4 linked regions of the Drosophila melanogaster genome follow. The protein of the gene in region 2 interacts with the protein of the main gene of each other region in a pairwise test. Each region holds a gene or a part of one and is shown on either strand. Other genes may lie near its edges.

Evidence for each region.
Region 1: the proteins of CG15083 (region 2) and CG15390 interact in a two-hybrid assay, tested with the Drosophila melanogaster proteins (one large-scale study listed by BioGRID).
Region 3: the proteins of CG15083 (region 2) and Spp interact in a two-hybrid assay, tested with the Drosophila melanogaster proteins (one large-scale study listed by BioGRID).
Region 4: the proteins of CG15083 (region 2) and ND-24 interact in a two-hybrid assay, tested with the Drosophila melanogaster proteins (one large-scale study listed by BioGRID).

What each region holds. Positions count from the first base shown.
Region 1 is NT_033779.5:2,370,454-2,378,572, forward strand, and holds CG15390 (uncharacterized protein), read left to right. Parts: upstream 1-4,259; 5' UTR 4,260-4,302; coding exon 4,303-4,356; intron 4,357-4,412; coding exon 4,413-5,186; 3' UTR 5,187-5,244; downstream 5,245-8,119. Other genes in the region: CG3597 (uncharacterized protein), read right to left, coding at 1-67, 159-535, 589-973; CG3609 (uncharacterized protein), read right to left, coding at 2,057-2,317, 2,377-2,623, 2,681-2,972, 3,041-3,248; Atxn7 (ataxin 7), read left to right, coding at 6,749-7,822, 7,883-8,119.
Region 2 is NT_033778.4:18,830,729-18,839,223, forward strand, and holds CG15083 (uncharacterized protein), read left to right. Parts: upstream 1-4,534; 5' UTR 4,535-4,663; coding exon 4,664-4,784; intron 4,785-5,551; coding exon 5,552-5,619; intron 5,620-5,687; coding exon 5,688-5,850; intron 5,851-5,926; coding exon 5,927-6,027; 3' UTR 6,028-6,114; downstream 6,115-8,495. Other genes in the region: CG15082 (uncharacterized protein), read left to right, coding at 518-572, 1,444-1,953, 2,062-2,387; CG15098 (uncharacterized protein), read right to left, coding at 2,923-3,056, 3,237-3,390, 3,583-3,668, 3,748-3,934; CG15099 (uncharacterized protein), read right to left, coding at 6,619-6,840, 6,906-7,248, 7,305-7,500, 7,657-8,495.
Region 3 is NT_033779.5:542,286-546,159, reverse strand, and holds Spp (signal peptide peptidase), read left to right. Parts: upstream 1-1,506; 5' UTR 1,507-1,617; coding exon 1,618-1,827; intron 1,828-1,893; coding exon 1,894-2,744; intron 2,745-2,810; coding exon 2,811-2,919; 3' UTR 2,920-3,374; downstream 3,375-3,874. Other genes in the region: nAChRbeta3 (nicotinic acetylcholine receptor beta3), read right to left, coding at 1-344, 596-789, 854-968.
Region 4 is NC_004354.4:17,628,432-17,636,870, forward strand, and holds ND-24 (NADH dehydrogenase (ubiquinone) 24 kDa subunit), read left to right. Parts: upstream 1-3,657; 5' UTR 3,658-3,748; intron 3,749-3,822; 5' UTR 3,823-3,990; coding exon 3,991-4,029; intron 4,030-4,158; coding exon 4,159-4,677; intron 4,678-4,831; coding exon 4,832-5,002; 3' UTR 5,003-5,078; downstream 5,079-8,439. Other genes in the region: CG8326 (uncharacterized protein), read right to left, coding at 1-840, 910-992; corolla, read right to left, coding at 1,631-2,698, 2,751-2,938, 3,096-3,386, 3,451-3,568; CG8289 (uncharacterized protein), read right to left, coding at 5,901-5,922, 6,143-6,546, 6,911-7,495; CG5800 (uncharacterized protein), read left to right, coding at 7,937-8,323, 8,400-8,439.

The sequences.
Region 1 (8,119 bases), on a different chromosome or scaffold from region 2:
GCAGAGGCCAGGATTCGGGAGGAGCATTAGAGCGGCTAATCTGGGTGCAGCACCAGTAATTGGACAGCTGGAAGAGGTACACAGTAGAGCTACGACAGCTGCATTGATAATCCCCTGATCCAGGGGTCAGATCCGGAAATACACGGAGATAAGCTCACCTTAATCTCGCCTTTGGTGCCCGTGATGACGGCATCGTTTTCCAGATTCTCTAGTCCGGTTACTAGAGCCACCAGTCGACGACCATCGCCATAGTCCAGCATAAAGTCGATCTGCACATCCACGCGTTCCTTGTTGAGCTGCGTGCCGCTGGGCAGGATCTTGACGGGAGATACACCGAAAACGAACTGACCCAGCTGCAGGGCGTAGATGCCGATGTCCATAAGGATCGAACCGCCCAGAGATCGGTTGCACACCCGTTCCATATGGGCCAGGCGAAAACCGTGCTGTACCTTAACCTGGGTTACCTCCCCAATGACGTCGTTTTTCAGGAGTTCCCTCAGACGATCGTAGCTAGGAAAGAAGCGTGACCACATGCCTGAAAGCAAACCATTAACAACTACTACTTCTGTTTAGTGGGCTTATAGATACTATTACCCTCCATGAGGAACACTCCACGCTGCTCGGCCAACGTGTACAGCTCCTTGGCCTGCTCCACGCTCAAGCACATGGGAGTCTCACAGAGCACGTTTTTACCCCTGGCCAACATGAGATGGACGACAGCGTAGTGGAATGGATTCAGGGTGCCCACATACACCACTTCCACCTCTCGATCCAGAGCCAGTGCATCGAAACCATCGTAGTGCCTGGGTATCTGATTCCTCTGGGCGAACTGCTGCGCTCGCTGGCCATCCACATCGGCCACGGCCACCACTACGTGACGGGACTTCTCCACGGTTCCCAGGGCGGTGACAAAGTCCTGCGTTATCCTGCCCGCTGCCGCGATGCCCCAGTTCAGATTCGCCTGGCTCTGCATTGCGACGCTACGACTCCAGATGTGCTGAATGCTATGTGGGTATCCGTTCTGCTTTCGACGAGTCGAGTCTCGCGCGGGCCCGTGTCCGGGCAGCTACTGACGCCATGATAATGATACTGAGTGCTAGTCCCGAGGGTCTCCTATCAGTCCCTGGCATCTGCATTCATTGCAATTTTCGTATTCCATTGCATTCCGGTTGATAAGGAACCACCCAGTTCCGCACACTGGCGCTCTATAGTTGCATTTTCGGGCTACGATTCTCGTTTTCTTATAAATCCTATAGAACGTAGACCTTTCCGAATTTGTACCATCCATTTTCCTTATCCTTTTTGATGACTCCGAACCATAGGTTGTTTCTATTGCTAAGGCCCGTAGTGTTTCCAAACTGATCACACGGTTTTCGAATCTCTAAAGAACCCTTGCTATGAAGTACTATAGAACTATTCTACGCAATTGCACTTATCTTATCTCTCAGAACAAAGACGAGCCCCCTTTTTTGACTGTTATCTACAAAATGACTATTAAACTTGTGAAAAGTACAGTTGGGGTACAAAACATTCAAATATTAGATAATAATGAGAGCTAAAAAGCTTATAGATGGTTTTCAAAAATTAGCATAGGAATATTAAGAATTTTTAAAAAAGTAATATAAATTAGAACAGACTTGGTGGTATAATCTATATTAGAGATATGTGGGTAGACTTTAGAGAACCCTGAGATAAGGAATCCCTGCGCTTTTTTTTACCAGCCCCTAAATTAAAAGACGGTATCATGCGGCAGAAACGTGATCGGGAATTCTGCCAAGTCAGGCACTTTAGTAACACCCCAGTTCGACCTAGTGGGAATGTCATCGCTGCCGTTCCACAATCAATAGCTCCCCTTATCGCACTGTTTGCTAATCCTTGATCTAGAGTGGGGCATTGAAAAAATACAACAGGGGGTCCAACTTTTAGTAAGTCCAACTTTTGCTAAGGACTTTAAAATGTATTGCTTTCGTTTAAAATAATTATTTGAAATATATATTTTTTGTAAAAAGTTCTGTTTATTATGTTAGGTTTACACGTTTATCTATATAATCTATATTTACTGCTCATCGTACTTGTTCAGCACACCGATCTGCTTGCGGATGGTGTCCTCGATCTCGGCGAAGATCAAACTGTCGGCGTAGGTGACGTTCTTGTTCTCCACTTCGCCGGCGATGATGGACTGGCGCACTGCCTCCGCCTCATAGCGCATGGCCTCGGAGTTGGCGTAGTTGGTCGCGTACTTGCCCTTGGGAGGCAGCCACTCCTTCTCCTGGCCATCGATGTCGATGAGCTTGTTGGGCGACCAGAAGTCAATCAGCTGGTAGATAAGACTAGACTATTAGCTACTCTTCAATCACGATCGATTAGATTACGTACGGTAACTTGTCCTTTGGTGCCCTTGATAACGGCGGTGTTTCCCAACTTCTCCTTGGAGGAGAAGCGCATGCGAGCAGTGCGCCCACCACTGTAGGTCAAGGTGGCACTAACATCATCGTCGATGCCCTCGGCGTTCAGGGTTCCCTTGGACTCGATCTTCTCCGGTTTCTCCTGGAAGGCCCACTGCGAGACCTGGATGGTGTAAATGCCCAGATCGTAGACCACACCGCCTCCCAGTTCGCGTTTCCTTTAAGTGATGTGATCTATTAGTAATTGTTATTCTATGAACGATCTGTGTACTCACTGCAAGCGGTCGACATGAGGCATAGGGAAGCCAAAGTTGACCTCCACATCCTTGACTTGGCCCAGCTGTCCGCTGGAGATGAGCTCCTTAACGCGCTGGTACGAGGGGAAGAATCGCGACCACACGGCCTCCATGAAGAAGCGCTTGTTGGCCTTGGCAGCGGCCAGGATGCCCTCCACCTGCTTCTTGTTCATGGCCAACGGCTTCTCGCAGAGAACATGCTTGCCATTGTTCAGCATCAGCAAGGCGACCTCGTAGTGCTGGGGATTCAGGGTGCCAATGTAGACCACATCTGGGGATAATTACATTTTTTAAAGATTTTTTTGAACAGTTTGTTTATGAACTTTAAGTTCTACTCACCGACATCGGTGCTCTTGGCCAGCTCCTCGTAGCTTCCGAGGGCCTTGGGAATGCCGTGCTTGGTGGCGAACTCCTGGGCGCGATCAAGAGCTCGGGCGGCTACAGCCTGGACCTTGTGGTCGCTGGAGGGCAGGGTGCTGAGGGCGATGACAAAGTCCTCGCTGATCTTGCCGGCGGAAGCGATTCCCCAACGGATGAGTTTCGACATGTTGCTGGATTGTGGAGCGGGCTGCGAATGAGTGGCAAGCCGAGTGGATTGTTAGTTAAATATGGGTGGAATCCACAGAGAGCCCTCCTTATCAGAAATAATGCGAGAGAATTGAACGCTTTATCTCACTCCCCACCGGCAGTTTATCCCATTCCAATTGTTTGAATGAAAATCGACCAGAAGTAGTTGTGCTATTTCACAATGTTATTGAGTTTGACCTTGTTTGAGCATTACTTGAGTTATTCTGGATGCCACCTGTACGGGAATTCAAAGTTATCACTGATCGAACGAGCCCTCCTCTCCTGGCCAATAGTTTCCTCATTAAGTAAAAACACTTGTCACGTTCGCTCTGATACACAGAGCTTTTAAGATTATTACAAAAATAACATTTTAATTCTCTTGATTAATTTCTGGATGATTTCCTTTTCAATATCAACAATTTATTAGTTGGGTTTTTGTGTATGGATTTATGTATATTTAAAAGAAATATAAAAATACATTTCACATCCATTTATAAATTTGATTTAAGCTTTTTCACTTGAATATAAATTTTTATCAGTGTATCGATCAGTTTACATGTCGTTTTCTACATACATATGTATGTATTTACTTGTACGGTTCCAAATGGCGACAAATAATTTGAATTCTTTGGTTAAATAAGCCGGGTAGTACTTAGTTTATAACATTAAGCTATATCTCTTTCAGAGTTTGATTATAATTATGCTATAGTTGAACTCTCACACACATGTATACACACATATGTACAAAATAAAGAAAAAAAACTTACGCTGAGCTTGTAGCAGAACTAAACGATAAAACTTTCCACTGTTGTTTTTTATGCGCGACAGTTCTATTTATAAACAATTTGCTGTGCACCCGACGAGAATAACAGTTCGATGCGTGCGATTTAATAGACAATTAAGCTATAGACGAATATGGTGGGTGTACCAGCTAAACATGCCGTTGTTCACGCTTCTCGGTAACTGTCATTGCAAAGAAGAAGAGATCAGCTGTTCATTGTTTTGCTCGCCGATTTAAGAGGACATCGCCAAAAATGTTGCGGAAACTATTATTTAACACACAAGCTGTATTAAAACAACAGTCAAACGTGAGTTAATCATGAATGCATTAGATAGAAATTAGATACAAATTGTTACTTTCCAGTTACATCACATAAGGCACTTGGCAACGCCCAAGATATTGCAGCTTGAACAAATTCACATCGATGAAGCCATCAAAATAGAACCCACGTTAGCTGTATTCTCACCTGAAATCTGGCGAAGGGCCCATCAAACTTTTCAAAACCACGGCTTGGAAACCGTGAATTTCCTTAGAATAGTTACCGGTAACCCCGCGATTTTGAAAAGAACGCCGGACAAAATAATAAGCTGCCTGGAAATCTGGAGGGCCTGTCAATTCGGCGAGAATCTACTGCACCTGCTCCTTACGAAGTACCCCGAGTTACTGGACGTTAGCGACTCCCACCAGTTACTTTCCCACATCGGCTTCCTTCAAAGTCGCGTCTCCACCAGCAAAAATGTGTGGAAGTGTTTGATGAACAGTCCGGATTTGATAGCACAATCCGAGGTATCTATTGAGGAGAAACTGAACTTCATCACAGACGTGATGCGCATAGAAGTGCCGGAGTTGGTTAAATCGGCAGCCCTTACCTTGTCATTCGAGGAGCTGCGTTGTCGCCACCAGTTCCTGCTTCGTTTGGGCCTCTTTAAGCCACGACCTCCGAAAGCCGATCCAAATGAGCCGACTACGAACCCCAAACTCTATCAGATTACAGACACTTCCGAGAAGAGTTTCGCCACAAAGATTTGCCACGTCACCCTGCCGGAATACGAAGCCTTCAAGGATCTCTACGCCAAGGAACTGGAGCAAAAGTCCAGAAGAAAGGAGGAGGATGAGCTTAGTGATGAAGATGACTAATGTTACGTTTAATTATGGTTATAGTTTGTGCCAGCAAATAAACGCTTGTAAAAATAGGAAATGTTAAGTATAGTTTTCTATCGCCTTTAAAAAGATTTTAATTCATAAATATATTCAACTGACTTTTCAGCGGAAATGCATGTAATTAATATATCGGCTACGTATGCAACGAATACCTGTGCGACTATCGATAACATATCGCACTTAATCTGCAGCTGCAACAAATACAACGTAACGTAACGAGACGCGAATTGCCATCCCTAAGCAAATACAACGATATTCATAATATCAATCTTTAAACTCGAAAAAGCGAGACAAACTAGAAAGCTTTAATTGATTTCGTTACAGAATCAATTAGGCTATACAACCAACTCGTCTTTTTCGAGTTGACCTGGCATTTTCCTCCACGGAGGCCGGCCAAAAATCCGATTTATCCACGGGTAGGGTAGAACGGTAACCTAAACCCACAAAAAAAACAACAAAACATGGAAGTGTGTTAACGACGTAAGTGTCATTTAATGCCGATATCATTCGGCATTCGACTAAAATTGCCTGCGAGCATTTTAAGTGATTTTTATTTTGTGATTTTCAATCGTGTGCTTTGTTTGTGTTGCATTGGTGTGGGTAAGTGCGTGAGTGTGCTGTGCGTCGGTGTGAGTGGCTGCGCATGTGTGCGGCAGTGCGAGCGAGACGGCGCCACTCGAGTAGCGGTTGTCAAAAACAGCTGATCCAGACCAAGGGGTGCGGGTACCGAGGGGTTGGCGCTCGCGGGGGCGGGGGCAGCACTCACCTGTAAGCTTTCGCTGAAAATTTACGATATCAAAAACAACAGTTTGTTAAATTTCGAGATTCATTCAAAAATGGCAATATACGCATAGAAATACTCCAAGACGTACAGTCTTCACACCCTCCACAAGTGGTTTGTGCAGTGTCCAATACTTTTCCGTTGCTAATAAAATCTATATATGTATGTATGTATGTATTCAGGGTCAGGGTCCTGTGGTCAATGGATATGTTGTATATGTATAAGTGGGTTCTGCTGATATCTATTCATTTAATTATAACGATGGTTCTGTTTATGTTAATCCTAACGTGCACCAAAAAATTTTAATTATAATATAAAAAAATAAAGAAAAAATAAATAATTAATTCTAAATGATTATTCTTGTTTTAATTTACCTTAAATCTAAATCTAATAAAGTTGTAATCTTCTTGAGATATACTTATAAGATTAAATTTGAGTTTTAGGGTTAAACACGCCTGGTGGTGATTCAAACCACGTACATATGTATATGTAATAGAATATACGAATTTATTGTATGAAAACTAGTGATGATTTTAACATGGGCATTTCGTAGGGATTCCGTGGTCCGGGGTTCATGGTGCATAGCCCCAGATTTTGTGTTTTTTATCAGCGATGAATTGCAGTATCAGTTAAAAGCTGTCACTATCAAAGTTTCTCTGGAACTAATAAATCAATCCTGTTTTGCAGGTGCTTTAAGGGGCAATTTTGCTCGAGTGTACCGAATCCCCGGATCCCGCGAGCACAGCTTCTATCCGGAATGCCCCTGAACGATGTGGCCCCCGCCGGTGGTGGAGCTTATCCGGAAAATGGAACCAAGCACAAGGTGTCGGGAATGTGGAAGCCGGACTCGTCGGCCGGCTCCAATTCCGGCTCGGGATCGGCGGGACTATCCCTGTTTAGCCTGCAGGGCCAAAAGTGGCAGCAGGTCTTCGACATGGAAAAGGTCATCAAGCAACTGCGAACGGCTGAGAAGACGTATCTGCGTGGTGGAAAGAACTCCTCCGCCGGCGCAGATCAACAGGCGAAGGTGCAGGTCCAGCGTCTGCAATCGGCGGACATGGCCTACTACGATCTGGCGCCGAAGCTGGCCAGTCGCGATATAGTACTCTGTAGTTCCTGCTCGGGATGTTACACGAAGGCAGGTTTCCAGCACCACATTGCGCTGCAGCATCCTAGCGTCTGGGAGGCCACATCCAGCAAAGTGAATCCCAATCCAAATGGGACAGCCATATCCAGCGACTCTCGTCTCACTGCCACGGAAATCAGTCAGGAGGGCGGGGCTATCGTGCCAAGTTCGCCCACGGATACGCTTTCGGCCTCGACGCTCTCCAGTTGCTCGAACGGGTCCAGCAGCTCGGCTTCACTGCAGCATCCGGCTGCTGCGGGTTCATCCAGCACCACGTCGTCTTCGTCTTCGTCGCGTCACAAGAGCAGCAGCAGTAAAAGTAGCAGTTCCTCCTCGTCTAAGGGCAGCAGCAGCACTTCCGCCGGAAGTAGGTCGCGTTCGAAGTCGTCAAAGAACCGCCACCACTCCTCGCCAGCTCCGGCCCTGCTGGAGTCCAATCACAAGGAGTCAAAGGGATCGAAGAAGAGTTCGGCCATAGCCGCTCCTCCCGTCGTCGCTGCTGTTGTTAAGGAGGAGCCACCATCTGTGGGTGCTGCTCCGGCTGCCATAACCATGTTCTCCTCCTCCAGCAACTCATCCTGCAGCTTACCGCCCACTCCCACGTTGGGAGCGGCCTCCAGCGAGGTGGCGATGGGGGTCAACTATTCACCTGCCCAGCTTCAGACGGATGCGGAAAAGCTGCCCGAGCTGCAGCCAAAGAAAAAGGTATTTCATATAATTGTGACTATAATAACTCAATGATACAATTACCGAAATCCTCTTCAGTTGAAGGGCTCCAGCGATCATCGAATAAAAGCGGAAAAGGAGAAGAACAAAGATAAGTCTCTGGTGAATTCCTACGAGCAGCAGCAAGTGCTCAGCGAACTGGACCAGGCAGTGTCTTCCATCACGGGAGCGGTTTCCGCCGAGCAGGTGGCGCCCGATGAGGAGGAACTGCCCTTGCCCAACACCTCCGACGAGAACTCCATTTCGCAGACGCTCGACGAAATGCTGGACAGCAAG
Region 2 (8,495 bases):
AATGGTGGAATGGAATCCAGCTTGGACACTCGACTCCCAATTGCTGTCAATGCTGTGCGCCATTCGCCATTCGCCATTCGCCATTTCCGTGCATATTAGAAAATTACCGAAGCTCAAGTCGCACTTCAAAAACCAAGCAAAGGTGACACTGCCATCCAGCTGGTGCGCATGTCCCTAGCGTCCTTTATATCCATTCTGTCCCGTCGTCCTGCTCCTTTCGTCGGGCAACAGGTGCTCGCTGCTCGAGCGTGGAGCGTGGTCGGGGTGGCCGAAAGGATTCGCGTGGAGTTGGGTTTGGTGCGCTGCCCGCGTGGAGCTATAAAAGCGCACGATGCGAACAACTTGGCCGTTAGTCGTCACTCCTCCGGCGTGGAACTCGATCTTCGCCGTGGGAGCAGCTGTATTCCGTTAGAGCATAGCCACCATCAGTTGAAATGTGTTTGCAAACTATTTAGCATCGGTGTATCCGTAAAATGTAAGAGCACCCAGAAGGCGGTACTCGAAAATCAGCCACACAATGTCGCACCTGGTGATGAGGCGACGGATTCTGCTTATGGTTTTGCTATTTGCAGGTAAGTCCATCAGTTCCAAGAGTTTGTGAAATTGGGCAGAAAACATTTCAAAGATACTAGCTAAAGTAGCTGAGATCATGATTATTGTTGTAGGAATTTGGAATCTTAAGTATATCATAGATCACAAGTAAAATCAAAATTTATAGAAAAAGAGAGCCTTTTCTCAAAAAAAACATTCCATTCTGCTCTTTAAAAATCTTAAAATTTAATTAATTGAAAACACAATTGAAGATGCCTAATAGGTGCATAAACTACGATTATACGTTATAGCCATTTAAAAATGGCAGAAATCTTCGTTTTTCCAATTTATCCGTCTCTGAATCAACCGAAGTTCTTTTGATCCCATTAAAAGAGATTAATAATAGTGATGTTTGTTTAAGTAAATCAAATCAAAAATCAAATCAAAAAATTTCCAATTTAAAAGTATATGTAATGCACAAAGAGTTATTTAATTATGCTATACTGTGTTTAACTACTTTTTATCCAATCTAAAAAACAATTAAAACTAAATAGCTTATAAACTTAAACTGAGACTAATACATTTTACTACGACAACTAGTTAGTTGTTCTTCCCTGCTTATGAAATTAAACGGAAGATATGACATCAATTCCATGGGGCAAACTTTATCGTAACTATCTCACATTTTCGGCAATTTTTCATTTCTCGGCAATTGTTCTAAATTGAAACCTGACCTTTTATTAGCCGCCATTGCGCCTATCACTAATTAAAATCTGTAGGGCACTAGCGGAAATTGGATGTCATGTAGTTTTGGCGAAGCCAACCCTGTTTGTACCCAAGTGACTACCCCAAATCCTGCGGGAGCACACACAATTAATGGGCCCGTCTGCCGATATGCTTCTCCACCGCCAGGTCCACTACGAAACGCACCTTTCGGCGGTGCACAGGTGGCGATAGCGACATCACCAACAACTGCTCGTGACCGTCAAATTCCGCCGGAGTGGGACCGAAACTGGAAGTTGGATCCGGACTGGGATTTCGCTGGAAGCGAGGGCAGGGAGTCGGTCGCGCCGATGACGTCACGCACCTTGGACAACTTTTACCCTTTCGATGGCGGAAATGCCCCGCCGAAAACCAGTGAAACGGAAATGGATAACCAATTCGGAGATAGCTATCTCGACCCGTATCCTACGCTGTTCGGTCGCCAGTGGCACCTCCAGCATCGCAGCAAGCAGCTGCAGGTGCAGCACAAGTGGCAATCTCCGGTTCCTCCACTTGCGGAAGTCAAGGCTAAGAGGGATCCCGCCAACTGGCCACCCGACGACGAGGAGCCACCGCTTACGTACCCCTACGCCTACACCTTGCCCTGGAAACGAAAGGAGGTTCCGGACTCACTCCGATATATGCCCTCGATCAGTGCTGGTGAGTAATGGAGTATTGGATAGGATTTGGATTCTTTGATTTAATTTAAAGCGGATTTAATCCTTAACCAATGAACCCATTGCTAGTGACATTCGTTCTACATTCCAGGAGCCATGACCAATCTGGGCGGCTTTTTCAACCGCCTGGAAGCGAACCTGCGCTTCGCGGAGCAATCGCAACTGGGTGAGTCGGAGACGCGTATGCTGGAGGGTAAACACCCGCACCCACTGCACCTGCCGCCCGTGCCGCCCGACGCTCCGGAGGATTCCGAGCAGAAGCAGGAGCACGACCGGAAGACATCGAAGCTCCTGCAGGCCCTGCGCAGCTACAGGCCCTCCCAGAAGATCCGATCGCTGGTGTCGCGCAATCCGCAGGGATACCGCGGCTCCCAGTTCATTGATCCCAGCTACATGTGGCTGGGTCTGGGCAAATGACAGTGAGACCGCCGGAGCAGCAGAATGGCCCATCAATAGTTACCTAAGTAGCTGCAACGAATGCCGCCCCAAGATTCGATTTAATTTATGCCCTCTGTGTGTGTAGAAATATATGTTTGAAAGCCTATCACAGTGTGTTAAGTTTTAAGGAATGGTATGTATTAACATTTTCGAATTACAAACAAATAATAGTAGCATCTCCAAACATTACAACAAGAAGCGTAAACCAAGCCCCTAAATAATTTTCCATTTGATTATTTATATAAAAAATATATATTTTTTTTTTTGCAGCCAATCGAAAAATCTTGTATTGGCCATTTCGTTTGGATATACGTATAGACACAATCGCGTTAATGTAAATATATATGATGTACACACAGATTTTCATTCTCTGATGCATGAAATACAACGTAGTATATAATTTTGGTGCTACTAGCTAGAAAAATATTGGGTTTATCGGGGAAGCCCCATTGGAAACATTCGAAAAGGGATATGATGAAATAAGAGCTGGCCAAACGGGAAGCTACACTGGAGCTTAAATCTTGGTGTAGCTGGGATAGGAGTTGGTCTGCTGGGTCGGCTGTGGGATCAGCGGGCGCTGGATCTCACGGGATGCCTGGATCTGCTTGAAGAGCGAGTAGATGCCGTAGTAGAGATACCAGGTCAGCACTGAAAACGAGCGAATGGAGAAAAATAAGCATCGTGCCCAAGCGCAATTATAGAACGATCGCAGACCGTCGAGCGATAAGCGCAATGGGGATCCACAATTTCGCAACAACGGCCAGTGTGTATTGTGTATACCCATTTCCAGATAGAGCTTATGTATGTATGAAGTGGTGAGTCACTTACAGAGCAGGCCAACATCCACGAAAATGATTGGAAGAGCGCTCAGGAAAGATGTATTTCCGATGATCTGGGCCAGCATTGCAATATTGGTGATAATTCCAAAGACAAGCAGCACTCCATTGTTGATCAGCCAGGGCAGCAGGAGTAAATGGCGTTCCTGAAAGGCAAACGCTATTAGAACCATCTCTATCTCTAGTTAGTATGGTGTATGTACATATGTATTTGCAAAGAAACTTGCCGGTTTTTTTTACAGAATAGTGGGCTTTTAAAAAGGTCTAACTCTAGATATGTACTATAGTAGACACATATATACGCGATTGTACAGATTGCATATTGATACTAGACTTACCTTAACGGTACCTGCAACCAACATGGCCGAAGCCAGAAGATTAATCACCTTGAGCGCCAGGTAAACACTGAAAACGATGATTAGCACTGCAATAACCGCAAGAACAATGAAATACAATAAAAAATATACGATTGGTTGTGGGTGCACTCGATGGTTAGCCCTTACCACTGCGAATCTCGGTGGCCGTCTTGTTAGAATCTTCCGATCCCTTGGCGATCTGCTGCGCAATTTCATCGACGAATCCGAGGGCCAAGGACAAGAGGATCGTGGCCAAGAAGGATAGAATCACGCCCAGCCATCCAATGACCACACCATAGGTGTTCAGGCGCATACAGAAGACCCTGGACAGCATTCTGGATTCACTTGATTTCGTGCTAATGCGAAGATAAAGACAATTTTACTTCAGTTCGCCGGCGCAGCAAAATTGCAATTGCTTGATAAGTCGCAATTGGCTGACAATTAAAAGCTTTTGGGTACAGCGGCGTTGCCAGACTGGTTCAAGCAGTTGGTGTCGAAACTGTGACTTGTTCACCAGCTTTTAATGTGACTTTTTAACGCTAATTGTTTAAAATTCTTTTAATAACATTTTTATATTTTAAATATTTTTATGCATTTATTATTTGGCATGATAGTTAAAAAATATTTATTTATGTATTCATTAACACTGCACAGCAGCGGCTTACTTTCATAATATTTTTCAAGGTGCTAATAGTAGCTACATTACATATATAATACAGCATTAAATCTCTCTATTATTTTAAAGACAATTCCCCATTTTATTCATTTCACTCTTAAATGACGAAACATATGCAAACAAATTCATATAGTAAATGAGTGCACATATATTTTTTAAGAACATATCAGACGTAGTTTTTCCACGCTCGAAAAAAAAGTATTTTCGTGTTGCATAGTTTACGCAACCGTTTCTTCTGAGCGGCATCGGCATTTGCGCCACACTTATTATTTGATTCTTGCCCAGTGCGGTTGTGTTTCCGTGCGCTAGGTGTTCCCAAACCGGTTTAAGTGCCATACTAGCCATATTTGTATTTGGAAAATTCGCTGTAAACCACAGAGTTTCAAAATGAAAATCGATCTGACGGTGGAAAATGGCCCGTGCAATACCGATTTGCGGAGCTGGTGCCTGGGAATCGCGATCTATTGGCTATTGAGCATGACTTTCAACGTTATATTCGCTCCAAACGGTAGGAGAAATGCGAGAGGCGTGGCATTTGTTTATTTTCAGAAGCTGATTGCCCAGACTGACGCTATTTCCATAGAGAGACAATACATTCATGATGTTCACATGCGAAATAAACGAATGAGCTAATCCATTCGACACAAACGCGTTCCAATTCACAACCATTTTGGATACAACACCTCACCATCGATGACGACATCGCCGACAAATTCGAGCTGACAATTCATTTTAGGTGGCCCGAAATGCCATTTTCTCACAGGCTTGAATTTTCCAGCACAAAAAAGAAAATTAAATAATTTCCTTGGGCTGTGCATGGCGCAGAATTAAACTTAAAAGATTATTGGGTTTTAACAGTTGAACGCCATATGTCATAAAAACACTTAAAGCCCTGCATTTGTCCATGTCTCAAAGAAGTTCTATAAACCTTATTCTAAGCTGTTTTAAAAAGTTTGTCATATTTCATGTATGAAATGTGTTTAAAATATAAAAGAAGAATTTATGTTTTAGTTCTTTATGTATATGTACACATGTACATGAAGTGCATCAGTGCATCAATATGTACTCATTATATACGAAGATACATTTAGCAGTCGTGTTCTCAAATTTCAGACGGGAAGAAAGATAAGAGCACAGCAACGTTTTGCTTGGAATACATTGAGTCACTTATAAGCCCAAGTTTATGTTTACTTTCCACTAATTGTAACGGCTTTTTTTATGAATGAAATATGTACGTTCAATAATTTCTATTTAAATTCACTTGAATCCTTGCAGTTCTTACCTTTATTGGATTTGCCATCGTAGTAGTCGCCAATATTTGCTTATTGATAGGAACCCTGAAGGTAAATAAAATACAACCCATTCCGTTTTATTGAGTCAACGAAACCCAATCTACCTTTCCGAATTGCAGGAAAAGCCAATTCTGGTGTTCGTCTGGCTGATCTTCGCTGCCATTGAAGCCATCTCCTTTCCGTTTGCCGTCTTCGGGGTTATCTTCCACTACGGAGGATATCGCGAGGCTACCGGAATGAACAACGTTTTCGGTGCCCTGCTCGTTTACATCATCACATTTCGTAAGTATCGGCTATGAACATCAAATTGAGTTAACAAAAATGTACAGATCATACATATTCTCCGCTACACTTTCAGTATTGATCCTCTTCAGCGCACGAATTGTGTACTCCTTCTACCTCCAGCTGAAAAACAGCGAAGCCAGCAAACAAACACCGCGCGCCATGAATGTGGTTTAGTCCTTATCATTCTACACTACATAAATTGTCGGGGAAGAGCCCACCGTTCGTTCATCTCAGTGTTTGCAATAAAATGCTTTGTTTTTTATTTGATTGCAGTTTGTCGTTAACGCACATCTCTTACTCACATCGACTTGGGATCAACTATCAACAGTTAAATACATTGGTTACATACATATACATACAGGGTGCTATTGGCTATTGGGCTACCGCGTTCTTAAACATTCAACATTTAAAACGATCGATCACACTACGGACAATTATATACTCTCGACACAGTTCTCTATCTATATAGCTAGCTATCATACTCGGCATCGTCTTCTGCTCCAATCTGCTTACTTAGACATAAAATGGAAAGTTGGTCATCTTATTGTTGCTGCTGTTATTGATGTTTTGCGACTGCGTAAAGCTCGTCTCGGCATTTTGGGTAGTTAGCTTAGCCTGCACGGCCGCCAGTATTCGCACAGCCTGGCCAGTACTGCCCGACTCCATGGCAGACTCCATACCTAGGTTCAGGTTCAGCTTGAGCTCGAAGTGTGACCCACTCGCTTGGATCTGCGACTGCGTCTGCCGTTGGGCAACAGCCGGTTTTCATCTCGGCGTGGTTATGCTGGGCAGCTTTTCCAGAAAATCATTGGCCAATACCTCTTCGATCTCCTTCAAGCAATTGGCCACATCGTTCTCCGTATCGGCAAAGTTACGCGGCTGGGGGCAACTGATGCCCAGCGTGGTGAAAAAAGCGTACAGCTCCTGCAGCGACTGCAGTTGCTGGAAGTGCAACATCAGGTGTCTATTGCTGGGGCGTTGCAGTATCTGGAACAAAGCCAAAGGGACTAGTTAGCCAGATGACGCATACGATGAGAGTGGGAATTACTCACCGGTGACTGACTGGTGTACTTCATGTCCATTAGCCTGGCCACACGTCTGACATGCGGAACATACAGCGCACTGGGCAAGGTAGCCAGGTTCTCTAGACTTCCGTTGGGCAGGCACACCTCCTCCTCGTGAACATCGAACTCGGTGCCCACAAAGGCCCATCGATACATCTGGAAATGTGGCAGTTTGGTTGCGGGCAGCACACATCCCAATTCAAGCAGCTTGCAGGCCTCCAATTGCACAGATCGCCAGTGCTGCATCGGTGTTTGGGAATTGTAACCATTGCTAGCTCCAGAAGCAGCGGACCAGGACACGTCAATCCCAGAAGGCAGGCGCAGTTGTTGGCTGCCAATAATGATACTATTAGTTTGACTACTTTTTTTCATTCGTGTTCGACTTACTTCCTCTCTTCGCTCTCCGATTTGAGCTCTTGTTCCATTTGTAGAAACACCTGTACCATTTCCGCTATGATTATGGGCCACAGCGAGGTGACGTGGTCGGGTGACATGCGAAGAAGCAGCACACGGAAGCACAGGAAAACGGCCGCTTGCACGGAAGGACCCATGGGAACCAGCCGCAGACTGTTGGCCAATTGTTCTAAGGGAATTGAAAATGTTAGTGCTGATGTTAGTTAATTCCCCAAAGAGATGGTACTAAGCTATAAATAGTAATTATATTTTTACATACTAAAAGGGTAAAGTTTGTTATTAATTGCTTAGCATCTAACAAAGGAGGAACATTTCGTTAACTTACCCTGGATGTCTGGCATGTACTTGTTGTGCTGGTCAAACTCGCTGCAATAGATAACAAAGGCGAGTCGCTTGAGCAACATGGCCCGCTGCTCATACTCCTGATCCCGGGAGGTGAATATGTTCAGACTGCCCGCCTGCGAGAGGGAGACGCGGGTCATCAGCTCTCGGAACGTGGTGTTGTCGTAGGTCATCAGGCTATCCATGATCATGCGCCAGAAGGGCAGGCACGAGAGATGCATCTGGAAGAAGGCGTTGTCCAGCAGTAGATCCAGCATATCCTTTCGCCAAGCCTTCCTGGTGTACTGGTAGCCACTTAAGCTAGCCAACAGGGCAGAGCAGGCGTAGAAAAAGGGAACATTCCGAGCAGTGTGGTTCTTCAAATACGGAGTAATATTGTACAGCAGCGGCGTCACTATGTTCACCACCTTGTCCTTCTCCTGGGAACCATAGGCCACGTCCAGTAGATTTGAGAGTATTGCTGCCAGAACACTCTGAGCCTGCAACGAATATTGCTGTAGACCTCCGCCTCCAACACTATTATCCTTGGCTAGCCCATCGGTATCCTCTTTCACGGCCAGGTTGCGACGCAACCAGGTGGTCTGCTCTAGACAGGATCCAGCCACGCTAGAGAGAGAGTCCACCAATCGAGAGGTGACATCGTGCAGCTCACGCACTTCCTTCTTGTCCTGGAATGGCATCTGCGGGCAGCGCTGGACAAACTCGTTGAGTAGCATAAGCAATGCAAACTGCGCCGGTGGTGTCAGATTCAAGCCATCGCGGATGAGGGCCAGCAGCGAGCTCCAGGCATCCGCTAATTGAGGAGCTGGAGCCGACTTCATG
Region 3 (3,874 bases), on a different chromosome or scaffold from region 2:
GGTGACTGAACCAGGTCGTCGTGGTCAAGGGACTCTCCTCTCGCCGTGCCGTTCTCCGGCAGGACGACCTTCAGGCCCCAGGAGCCGATCTTCAACTTGCAGCTCTGCTTGTCGTGGGGCCAGTTGAGCATGTTGAGTTCGCAGTAGGCCGTGTACACGGCTGGAGGCATCCACCGGAAGTGGCCATCGTGGCTGAGGGTCACCTGGGTTTCGGCCATCAGGCCACCTTCGTCGCCGTTGAAGAGTGTGATTTGGGGGGTCCAGACCTCGCTGGACTTCAAAGTGATCTGCGTGATGTTGTCATATTGTGACGGTTGCCACACGCGCTCCTCGTCTCTCCATCGCTAGAAAACCACGATTGCTTCTGGTTAGTTGATTGGATATTCAGATATTCATAAATGCACTACACTTATTAGCTTTATAGTACTCTCTCAAAAAAAAAAAAAAACAAAACAAAACAACACTTCAGTTCAGTTCAGATAACACGCTTTCCAAAATTGCTTATCAGAGTTGTGAACTTGAGGGAACTCGGAAATTATCTGGTTTCTCAGCTACTCGAGACGAAGGAGAGGACGAAGGAGAGGACTGGACTTACGAGATTCAGCCAGCAGTGGGTGGTCAGCTTGCCGTTCAACTCGTCGATGTCTATGTAGGTGACCACCATTTCCAGGGACACGTTCGTGGGGGTTCCTTGGAACACCGGCTGCACATCGCTGTCGTAGTTCGTGAACAGGCCGGCGTGGAGGCGATCCAGGGCCTTGACATTGGCGTTCTTGGGGTCCGCGGTGGCTGGAGGGGATTCGAGATCACACTTATCAGCGGCTTATGCAACTCCGGAGCCGTAAACACTTACCAGTGGCGCCTGGCACGGAAGTCAGCCCCATAAGAAGCATCCCCATTAGCATTTGCAGCAGTAGTGGCAGTCCAGGACCGGAAACTGGTGCCTTTATCTTGGGAGTCGTCGTCATTGTTCAGCGCGCCTTTGTTTCGGATGTACGGTGCTGTGCTCTCGAAATCTGAATGGGAACTGAGCTCGGTTTGCGGCTTGGCACATGGCCGAGGCTCCTCCGATATCTCGGTGTTCCTCTGCCGACGCAGCAGATAAAGCAGCAGCCGACATATTTGGGTTTTGTGTGGGAGCCGTGCTCACATGTACTGACTTCGGGGAGGTTCGAGAGTCAGTTCTCTTAAGAACTTAATCAATTCAAAAGCATTTACATATATCAGCATAAAATAAACTTAAAAATCCATTTCACTTATTTTTGTTTCGCAAAAATGCCAAACATATGATTAATAAATTGAGGAGAACTGGTGAACAATTAGCTCGATAAGCTAGCAGGTTTTCACAAACTAAGTTCGGGATTCACTAATTTCAAATCAGATTTATCAGTTTTGAATCTCAACCGTTTTGGTATATTTTTCGGGAGTTTGGTGGCGGTGCGACCCCACCACAGAGGGTGGTATATTTTTGGTATACTGCGGTGCGTCCGATAGGCCCAGACGATGACCAGCGGTACCGATAACACAGATTGTTGACGTGTGCTGCTGCGTGTCATTTCGCTTTTCACCCCCGCAAGCCGGCGATTTTCAGGAACGGATTGGATTGGACAGCACAGCATGGCGGAGGAAGTCATCGGAACCGTTAAGGAGGTGCTGAAGGGCATCATCGAGAATGTGAACGCGCCGAAGAACGAGTCGGCGCCGGGCGAGAAGAAGCCCTCGACTCCGGAGGGCATGGCGGTGGCCTACAGCAGCCTGGTGGTGATGGCCATGCTGCCCATCATCTTCGGCTCCATCCGCTCCGTGAAGCTGCACAAGCTGAAGAAGGTATGTGAAGCAGACTCAGCCCGGAAGCTGCATTAACATGTTTCCCGTAATTCCCACTCCCTGCAGTCAACGGGCGAGAAGGCGGACACGATGACCAAGAAAGACGCCATGTACTTCCCGCTGATCGCGTCGGCAGCCCTCTTCGGGCTGTACCTGTTCTTCAAGATCTTCCAGAAGGTGCACATCAACTACCTGCTCACCGGCTACTTCTTCGTGCTGGGAGTTATTGCTCTGGCGCACCTGCTCAGTCCGGTGATCAACTCGCTGATGCCCGCCGCCGTGCCGAAGGTGCCCTTCCACATCCTGTTCACTAAGGGGGAGGGCAAGCACAAGGAAGACATCGTTAACTACAAGTTCTCCACGCACGACATTGTCTGCCTGGTGATCTCCTCGGCGATCGGAGTGTGGTACCTGCTCAAGAAGCACTGGATCGCCAACAATCTGTTCGGTCTGGCCTTCGCCATCAACGGCGTGGAGATGCTGCACCTGAACAACTTCGTCACGGGCGTCATCTTGCTGAGCGGCCTGTTCTTCTACGACATCTTCTGGGTATTCGGCACCAACGTGATGGTCACCGTGGCCAAGAGCTTCGAGGCGCCCATCAAGCTAGTGTTCCCCCAGGACCTGATCGAGAACGGCCTGAACGCCTCGAACTTCGCAATGCTGGGACTAGGCGACATCGTTATTCCGGGCATCTTCATCGCTCTGCTGCTGCGCTTCGACGACAGCAAGAAGCGCAAGACGCGCATCTACTTCTACTCCACGCTGATTGCCTACTTCCTTGGCCTGCTGGCCACCATCTTCGTGATGCATGTGTTCAAGCATGCGCAGCCGGCTCTGCTCTACCTGGTGCCAGCCTGCATGGGCACGCCCCTCCTGGTGGCCCTCATCCGCGGCGAGCTGAAGGTGCTCTTTGCGTAAGTGTGGACTGCGCTGGGCGCTCGACTTGAAACTAAACTAACTCATTCTCGCCCCCACTGCAGCTATGAAGATCATCCCGAGGAGAAGCCCGAAAAGAAGGAGAAGAAGGAGAAGGACGAGGGCGTCAGCTCGTCCGGCAGCAAAAAGAAGGAGTCGAAAAAGGGCAAGTAGAGCCGGGAGGACGCAACATCCGAACAACATCCCCACTCGTTCCATCGTAAATGTCTTCTGCAGCTAGCCAAGCTCCCTTTCGTTTCGATATGGCTTCTCCATCTACCGCAGTCCATAGCTCATATGGACTAACACCGCTACAAAAGACGATTCACTTACTGAGTTAGTTATGTACGTTCCTTGGCCAGGCACAACAATCTTATTTAGTTCGGTTAGGTTACAATTGTAGAAAATGTTCCCTCGACTTTTTTACCGCAATCAATTTAAATATGTATTTCAAATATTTCTGTGGCTCCGCACAGGAGGCTTATATGTTTAAGAACAGTTTAGATACAAATATATTCCAATTTTTGTAAACAGTGCAATTTTGACTACGAATTCTACATTGCATTTCTTAAAACTAATGCAGTAATTTGTGTAAACAGTAATGCGAATAAATTTTAATTCTAACGTTTAATTAAACTAGTTTTGTATTGAGTAGAGGGTTTTTAGGAATGTAACGGCTTAAGAGAAAAACCTAATACATTTTAAGTTGAGCTTACCAAAATCCAAAGAATTTTTAAATTTAAAACATAATACAAAAGTGCTTTGAAAAAGTCAGTATTTTAATACCACTGTTTATCCACGGCCACACTAAATATCGATAACCGCATAGTGAGACCCTTTGTGTAGAAAAACTTATACCTTTAGCGAGCACAAGCGTTCATTCCTGAAAAATTGCGGTAAAAATTGCGAAAAGCGCGAGTTCCCCCCGCGATTGCAAATAATTAATTTGCTTGGAACCACTGGAGACGCAAGGACGAACAGAGAGGTAGGTGCTCTTGCACTTAGCGCGCCAAAAGGCGACAAAGCCCCTCGTAGGCCACTTACCCACACACACACATTCGCAGACAGACGCGCGTGCAAAAAAGGCCAAGTGGGACTGCTAGCGGAAATCCAGGACTCGAGGACACGT
Region 4 (8,439 bases), on a different chromosome or scaffold from region 2:
GACCTCGTAGCCAAGGGCAGATCTTTCCGCTTGCCCTTCATCTGGGCCTTGGTGGGTGCTTTGAAGGCGCTCTTAGATTGGGCAGCCAGCTTTAGTCGACTGCTGTCGTCGTCCTCCGGCCCACGATTTGACTGACCCTGGTCGGGATTCAGCATGGACTTTAGAAGGAGATTGGCTTTGCGTCCTGGACGCGGCACGGTTTCACTTTTTTCCGCTTTGCGCGGCAGGATTTTGAGGGAAGGTGGGGCATGGACGATCTCACCAAATGCCACAGCATCCTGTTTGAATTCTGTTGGCCCGGCATTCTGCTTCTCCTCGGTATCAACCTCTTGCTGGGCCTCCTTGTAGGCCCTCTTCACCAATTCGCGACTGGTCTTCGCATCCATGGGCTTGTGTACGACTTGAACCTTTTTGCGACCCCTTTTGCCCGCCAGCCGTTGCTCCTTTTGCTTCTGCTTGAGCAGCTCGTCGATCTCGTTTTTCGGCCTCTTTTGGACAGTAATCTCCCCGGTTTTGGGGTTTCTGATCACGTTCACACCATACTTGGCCTCGTAGTGGGCTTCCCGTACGGATGCATTGGTCATGCGATTCACTCGGCGCAGATAATCCTCGTCCGTTTCGTTGGCGAACTGCTTGATGTTACGCGTTTCCTTTGAGGAGGAACTACTGCCAGGCTTGGATCCTGGAGAGGATTTGGGCTTATCCTCCCGTCCAATTTCGCCCAATCTTAGCTTCTTGCCCGATTTGGTGGCGTTGGCAAGCTGCTGAAACTGACGGAACTTAAAGGACACCTGCTGCTCATCCTTTTTCACAGGCGGATTGTTCGTTACTTTGGAAAGTCTGAAATGTGAAATGGTGCAGATATTAGTTTAGCTGCCTTTTTCGACTGACTTGCCACTATGAACAAACTTCTTCTCCTTCTGTTCCAGCTGCTTGAGGGGATCACGGACGCCGTGGTGCTTGCGCACGGGAATCTTTCGTTTCCGAGCCATTTATTTTGGGTTTTGGTTCAATTTTTGTAAAACAAACTCGTGGTATCGACAGCATGGGTTAAAATACTAAGCGCGATGCATGCTGACAAATACCAAAACAAACCATAAATATACCAAATCGATTAAAGCTTGGACTCAAACCATTGGCGCCCAGAATTACAAATGAAATATTAAAGTTAAATATATATTAGATTAAATATATAAATGTATTTTACACTATGTATTGTATTAAGTAGTCTTCATATTCCCCTATTTTATAATATACATTTTTAATAAAGATTTATATGCTGTAATGAGAAAAGTATTTTATTGCAAGTGGTAAAATTTACTGTTTGCAGTAAAATTAAATATTTAAAGTCACGAATTTGTCTTAATTTATTGTTTTATTAGTTTATAAGCAACGACAAAATGAAGAATAAGTCTGAAACGGCACTTTCGAACTGAATACGTATGATTTAAATGTACATATGCATATTATGTACGCAAATTAATTTCATTATAAAGCTACAAATAATTTAGCTGAAGTGAAATTTTTTTTGATTGCAAATGGCAATGAATGAATAAGTATCTGGATATTAATTAATTGTCCGTTCTTATAAAGAACATACATTAATTTTTGACCAAAATACGTTAACAATTTAAAGTATGTACGCCGAGGCGGCAGTAGGTGTAACATCATTATCATCGCTGAAGTTCAGCAGGTAATCATCGTCAAAATTGTTGTGGGGCGAGCTGAATCGAAGTGATTGATCATCAAAGTTGTTGAATGTGGACGACGGATGCTTAAAGTAATCCGGCATTGGTTGGCTCATTGGGAACTCCTCCTCCTCCAATTTTAGTCGCTTGCAAGGCGGCGCCTCGTTTTCATCGCGATTGCTACCATAGTTCATAAACTGGGTTGCAGTAAAACGATTAAGAGTGCCCTTGGAGGTGCTGGGTATATCGTCGCTGGCCCAGGAAGATATGTTTTTGAAGGGAGAGAGAGTGTCGACTCTAATTATTTGTGGTTTATCGGAAATTTCATTGGATAGCTGCTCATCAGTCTTCGGGTTTTCGCCGATTTTTACTTGTTTGGCCGCATCAGCCGGCTCCTCCTCTCCTGAAGCCTCCCCTCCGGATTCCTTGTCATCCGATACGGATTCCTCGACTTCTGAGCCAGATTTCTCATCATATCTATCCTGTTCTAGATGCAAAACCTCTTCTGACTTTTCTACTTTTACCTCCTGCTCAAATCCTTCATCTTTCAGCGCCATTTCGAATTCTTCTTCTGATATTTCCTCAAAATCTTCGTCTGTGGCCTCCATTTCGTCACTGTCCTCTTCTAATTCCGCATTTGGGACACCTGCCTCTTCTGAAGGAGAAAGCCAATCGGTCTTCTCAAATTTCTCCTCTTCGATATGGCTTATCTCTGGATAGGGAGAAAAACGCACTTGCTTTGTTGGCGAGTTGGAAATGGCAACAGACTCGACCTCCTTGCATTTGATCAAAATGGATCGCAGAGGAGTCTCCAGCTTCTTAGTAGTGATCTCTCTATTCACGCTCGTCATGGATTTATTGTCATCTGGTCTGATATTCTTAAAGATGAAGTTGTTGAGGAAATCCGAAGCGGACTGAAATGGTGAAATGGTGCTAGCGGATGGAACACCAGCCAAACTTGGTTCAGCGCCCTTAGTGACACCCGTTTTAATCAAATTCCTTTTTTGCAACTGAAAAACGGAAAAGTTATTCACTTGGAATGGATATTTCGCAGCTACTCACCTCTTCCTTCAATTCGTTTATCAGCTTTCCCATCTGTAAAACGCTGACTATCTTCTTATTAAGCTTATCCGTCATACTTCTCAGCGTAATTGTCCACTCGCGATCCGACTGGTCCAGTTGGTCGTCCACTGAGGCTAGCTCCTTATCTGCCTCTTTTTTTAAGGCTTGCTCTTTTCGGAATTCCTGGACTGAAATAGAAGCTACTTGAGAATCATTTAAATAACACAAATGAACTTATACTATCACATAGGGTAAAAAATATTAAACAAAATGTTTTTTATTGTTTATGATTATATAGCATTCAAATGGATTCCGTATTCAATAATACCTCATACAAAATCTTACCGATGCTGCGCGATTCGAGGATTGTGTTCTGCTGATTCTCTTGCTCGGCCAAATCCTCCTGCAGCTTAATTTTGCGCTGGAACTCCTGCTCCTTGCGATGCACCGTGTAGTAGAGGATGTCCTGCAGCCCGGCCATTTCGAGCAGCTCCTCAATTCGCGTGATCTGGAACATACAGTCCTGTATCATGGTGTTGGCCTGTGCCATACCGGCACCGTTATCCTCCACTACCAAGGCGCACTGCTTGACCAAGGTCAGGTCGAATAGCACCTGCTCCAAACGCGGCCCTACAACTGAACAAGCAGAAACATGTATGTATAAATCTTACTTGGAGATTCGCGCATTATGCCCACTCACTCTGCTCCTCGACGATCAATTCTTTCCTTTTCTTGAGTTCCTTCTCGAGCTGCGCCATTTTGGTATCTTTTGGCCAATTTTGCCCCATAAATTCTTTGACAAGTGGATATTTTTCCATATTTTGTCCGTTCAATGTTTCCCCCCGATAAGCTTACAAGTTTGCGCGTTCAGTAATTTATCGGATATCGAATGCTAAGGCACAGCGATCATTGTTGAAAAGTGTCATAGATACTGAAGTCACAGCGATATATATCGCTTACTGTTTTAGAAAACTTATTTTAAAAAGGAATAAAAAAATGTAACGTACCGCTGAATATTAATTTAATTACAAGTTTTATTTGTTTAAGCTTTTTTTTATTAATGTTGTACAAGATTTGTAGAGATTTGCTCATCTCTGACGACAAGTGCCAGTGTTGGCAAACGCTCCGCCGAAAATCAGCTGTAAGCGGTGCTTGTTAAAAAAAAACTGACAGCAGCCGACGGACTTCACATAACATAAGAGCAAATTTTCAGCCTTTTCATTATTTTGGAAACGCCAGAATGCTGACAAACTGTGCCTCCAAAACACTGGCCGCCGTGGTGAGTAGCGCAGCCATCCAAACTGTCCAGTAATTCGCGGTGTCAACCAGGGAAGGCAACCTGTTCCCCGAGTTATATAATTGGCGACAGGAAAACAATAACATTAAGGATATGTGTTGTTATTTGCAGCGCGCCAACATCCGGGCAATTGCCACCAGCAGTGCCCGGGCCAGCGACAATCTGTTCGTCCATCGCGACACACCGGAGGATAATCCCAACATCCCGTTCGAGTTCACGGCGGAGAACAAGAAGCGCGTGGAGGCCATACTCAGCATCTATCCGGAGGGGCACAAGCGCGGCGCCATGATCCCGCTGCTTGATCTGGCACAGCGCCAGTACGGCTGGCTGCCAATCTCTGCCATGCACAAGGTGGCCGAGATTCTCCAGTTGCCCAATATGCGCGTCTACGAGGTGGCCACTTTCTATACGATGTTCATGCGCAAGCCCACTGGCAAGTATCACATCCAGGTGTGCACCACCACACCATGCTGGCTCCGCGGATCGGACGACATCCTGGAGACCTGCAAGAAGCAGCTGGGCATCGGCGTCGGCGACACCACCAAGGACAGGAAGTTCACCATCTCGGAGGTCGAGTGCTTGGGCGCCTGTGTCAATGCGCCAATGGTGGCGATCAACGATGACTACTATGTAAGCAATTCTAATTGCTAAATGTGTTTCCTGGTCATTTGTTTGTAGGAAACGCCAGTTTCACTCTCAGCCTCGTCCAGCGTTTCAATCTTAATGCGCTGAAATCGACTCTATATTGTGCAAACATTGCTAACGTTTTTTTTTTACTTTGCAGGAGGATCTGACATCCAAGGACATGCAGGACATCCTGAACGACCTGAAGGCGGATAAGATATCGCCCCCTGGGCCACGCAACGGACGCTTTGCCAGCGAGCCAAAGGGCGAGCCCACTTCCCTGAGCGAGGAGCCCAAGGGTCCTGGCTTTGGTCTGCAGGCCGGTCTGTAGAGGATGAGCAAGGAGCAGAACCTATCACTGATTGTCGAACGAAAGTTAAATAAATGTTAAGCAACTTATAGAGGTCATTGATAAAGGATTTTTGGATTTTTTTTTAAAAATATGCTCACTTTCCATTGGAAAGTTTCCATTTTGAAAGGTTACACATAAAATAATAACTCCCAACGAACTCGAGAATACTAGTACATTCAATTAGATGTGGAAGATCGCCAGAACCCCAATGCAAGCCAAATGTGCGTTTTTCATATCTTGACCAATAAATGATTTTATTTTGTAGTGGAAACGGCAGGTTCCCATTGCTAATTATAATGGATGTTTACTATTGCATACGTACGCATGTTCCATTACTAATTATAATGTTCGCTCATTATAATTGTATGTACAATGGCGTACGTACGTAAGAACGAATATTATGAATTAAGATGATTGGAAGAGTAGTTGAGAGGCTATTTTCAGCTGTGGCAATTGACCAATACAAACATCAATTACTCAAAGGATAAAACTAAAGCTACAGAAATGATGCCTTACATTCTACGCTGGTTGAGTGCAATTAACCAGATATAATACTACATGTATGTACGCACTGTGATGCAGTCGATTGCCTGTCCTTTTTACTTATGTACTAAAATCCGAATTTAATATTTAGTTATTTGTGTTGCCCGTAAAGTTGTCCGCCAATAGTCAGGATTGTGGACATGATGTGGATTGGCTCCGCCCGCGAGCTTTTTTAAAACCAATAACGATAAGGGAAATTTTCCGTTAAAATCTAACTGGAGCCGCCATGGGTCACCTTTCCGCGTACTTCGGTCCGCATGTGTTGTAATATTATATGTAAAAAAAAAAAAGTGTACTAAATTCCTACATGGATTTCCTTCCTTGTTGCCCTTCCTCACTCCTCGCCGTAGAAAATGCTGAAAGTATAAAGGTTTATTGACATATGAGTAACATGGTTGAGTGTGGATATCAAAACTATAAACAAAATAATGAAGAAATCAGACACAATGCGTGAAATTAAGCAACGAAACGGGCAAATATAAACTGAAAGTATCAACTGAGGAATAACTGAATTTAATACTTCACAGCTGTGTCGTTATTCTAACCTTATTGTGTATATAGAGATATTAAACGCACCGGTTTTTGGCGGAAGAGCGCTTCGAGGAGCGTTCAATACGATTGTGCAGATTTGTCCTGGGATAGCATTCATCGACGAGGCGCTCGGTCTTCTTGGGCGATTCGCGCAGCTCCTTAACGTCCACGTTCTCCTGGGTTGCTTGTTTCCGCATAAACTTTTCGATAAGCGCATCGCACGCCAGATTCTTACTCGGCTCCCAGGAATCATCCTTCGGTCCATACTTCTTCCATCGGATCTTAAACATGTCGCCCTCCTTGGTGGCAACGTGATCAAGAATTTTTTCGACTTCCCATTGCTTTTCTGGGTCGATTGAATCGTCGGCTTTCTTGGTGCCGGCGTTCCGTCGACCACGTCCCTTAGCCTTCTTAGCGTTTGGCGAGGACTTCGATTTAGCTGCAACCTTCTGCAAAGCAGCAAAGATAAAAAAGTTGGACTTCATTGATCAAAATACTGTCCTATAAATAAAATGAATCTTAAAGTATGAGGCATTTTTGGCCAAGATAACCGCCATATAACGAAATTACTCTCAACTGACTACACTTTCTCATCAGCGTTTCAGTGTAATGTTTTAAAAGCATACATTTTTATATGTACGCCAGTTAGCGCTAATGATTTCGAATAATAGTACAGTCATCATAATCTAACCTTTTCGAAAGGTTTTGAGTCTCAATGTTTTGTAATTGCTGACTAGAATTTCGTAGAATTTACTGAGGGTTCAATATCTAATTGGGTCTAGTATTTTTTGATTTCTCGAATTGATGTCTCACCTGGGGTTGAGCTGATTTCTCATCCTCTGTTCCAGCATCGACATCGGATTCCGAATCCTTTTCAGCAACCTTCTTGCCATTTTTGACGGAAGAAGTCGAAGCCCTGCTCAGCTTGCGCTTCTTGATCGGACTTGATGCATGTGCAGAGGCTTTGGAGGTGGAGGGCAGTTCATTGCTATCTTCCGTTTCACCGCGCACGGATCGCCGTGTCTGGCGTTTGATATTTGGCTTCCTTGGCGAACTGTCGGCACTAGGGTCTACATCGGAATGATTAGCATCATCATCCGAATCCTCTATAACGATTTTTTTGCCATTTTTGCGGGGCGAAGTGGTGGCGTTCCTGGCCTTGCCCACCTTGCGCTTGTTCCTTGCAGCTGGTACATCCACGTTGGAGGTAGAGGTCTGGCAATCGCTGTCTTCGCTGTCAGAGGCCACAGTCAGTTTGGCCTTTCGTTTGTTCGGCGTCTTCCTGGACGATCGACCTGTCCCATTGGACTTTTGCTGGTCAATCTCCTCGTTTTCGCTCTCGTTGGCGACTCCGTTCCTGCGCTTACTTTCTGCCACCTTCTTACTCGCCTTGGCCATAATGCACTTGTTTATCCGGTTGTGTGACAACGTCCAATTTGCTCTACGGTGGCGATTTCAATTGCCGCGTACCAGCAAAACAAATTCTTTATAGAGTTTTTTGACGACTGTACACTTGGCAGTGTTACCAGACTGCAAGAAACAAAAAATCACGAAGTCGGGATATGCAGTTTTATAAATATATATATATTTATATTTCCTGGGAATATTTATTTAATGTTTATCAATCGAGATCCCGAGATCGAATCGAAGTAAGAAAGTAAGAAAATTAATTCTTTCCAAATTTCTAGAAACGGTAATACAAATTAGTGGTCGATACATTCGACTTGAAATGCGAATTAATCGATTGAATAATCGTTTCTTCTCTCATCCCTAATTCCAACCGCGTGCGAATTTCAATACGTTTCGAAACGACCGCATTTTGGTCAATAAACAGAGGGTATGCAGCGCCAGAAACCCAAGGGACCCGGCAAACCGGGTTCGCGTTTCAAGCCGGGATCCGGCACGTTCAAAGGAGCTGGTGGTGGCCGGAAAAGCGGCGACAACAGCCAGAAGCGTCCGCGCCAGGAGATCAACAAGTCGCGACTGGCCGCCACCGAAGCGGAGATCCAGGACCTCAAGACCAAATACGCAGAGATCGATGCTACTGCCATTAAGAAGTTCGCCCAGTTTCCGCTGTCCAAGAAGACCCAAAAGGCACTGGCGGAGTCCAAATTCGTGCATCCCACGCAGGTGCAGCGGGACAGCATTGGACCCGCACTGCAGGGCAAGGATGTGCTGGGCGCGGCCATCACAGGCAGTGGCAAGACACTGGCCTTTCTCATACCCGTAAGTTGGTCCTCGTCCCTTCTTCGAAAGAAATTGCCGGCTGTAAGTTATATATGCAATGGTCCATTTATTGCAGGTTCTGGAGCATCTGTTCATGAACAAATGGTCGCGCACCG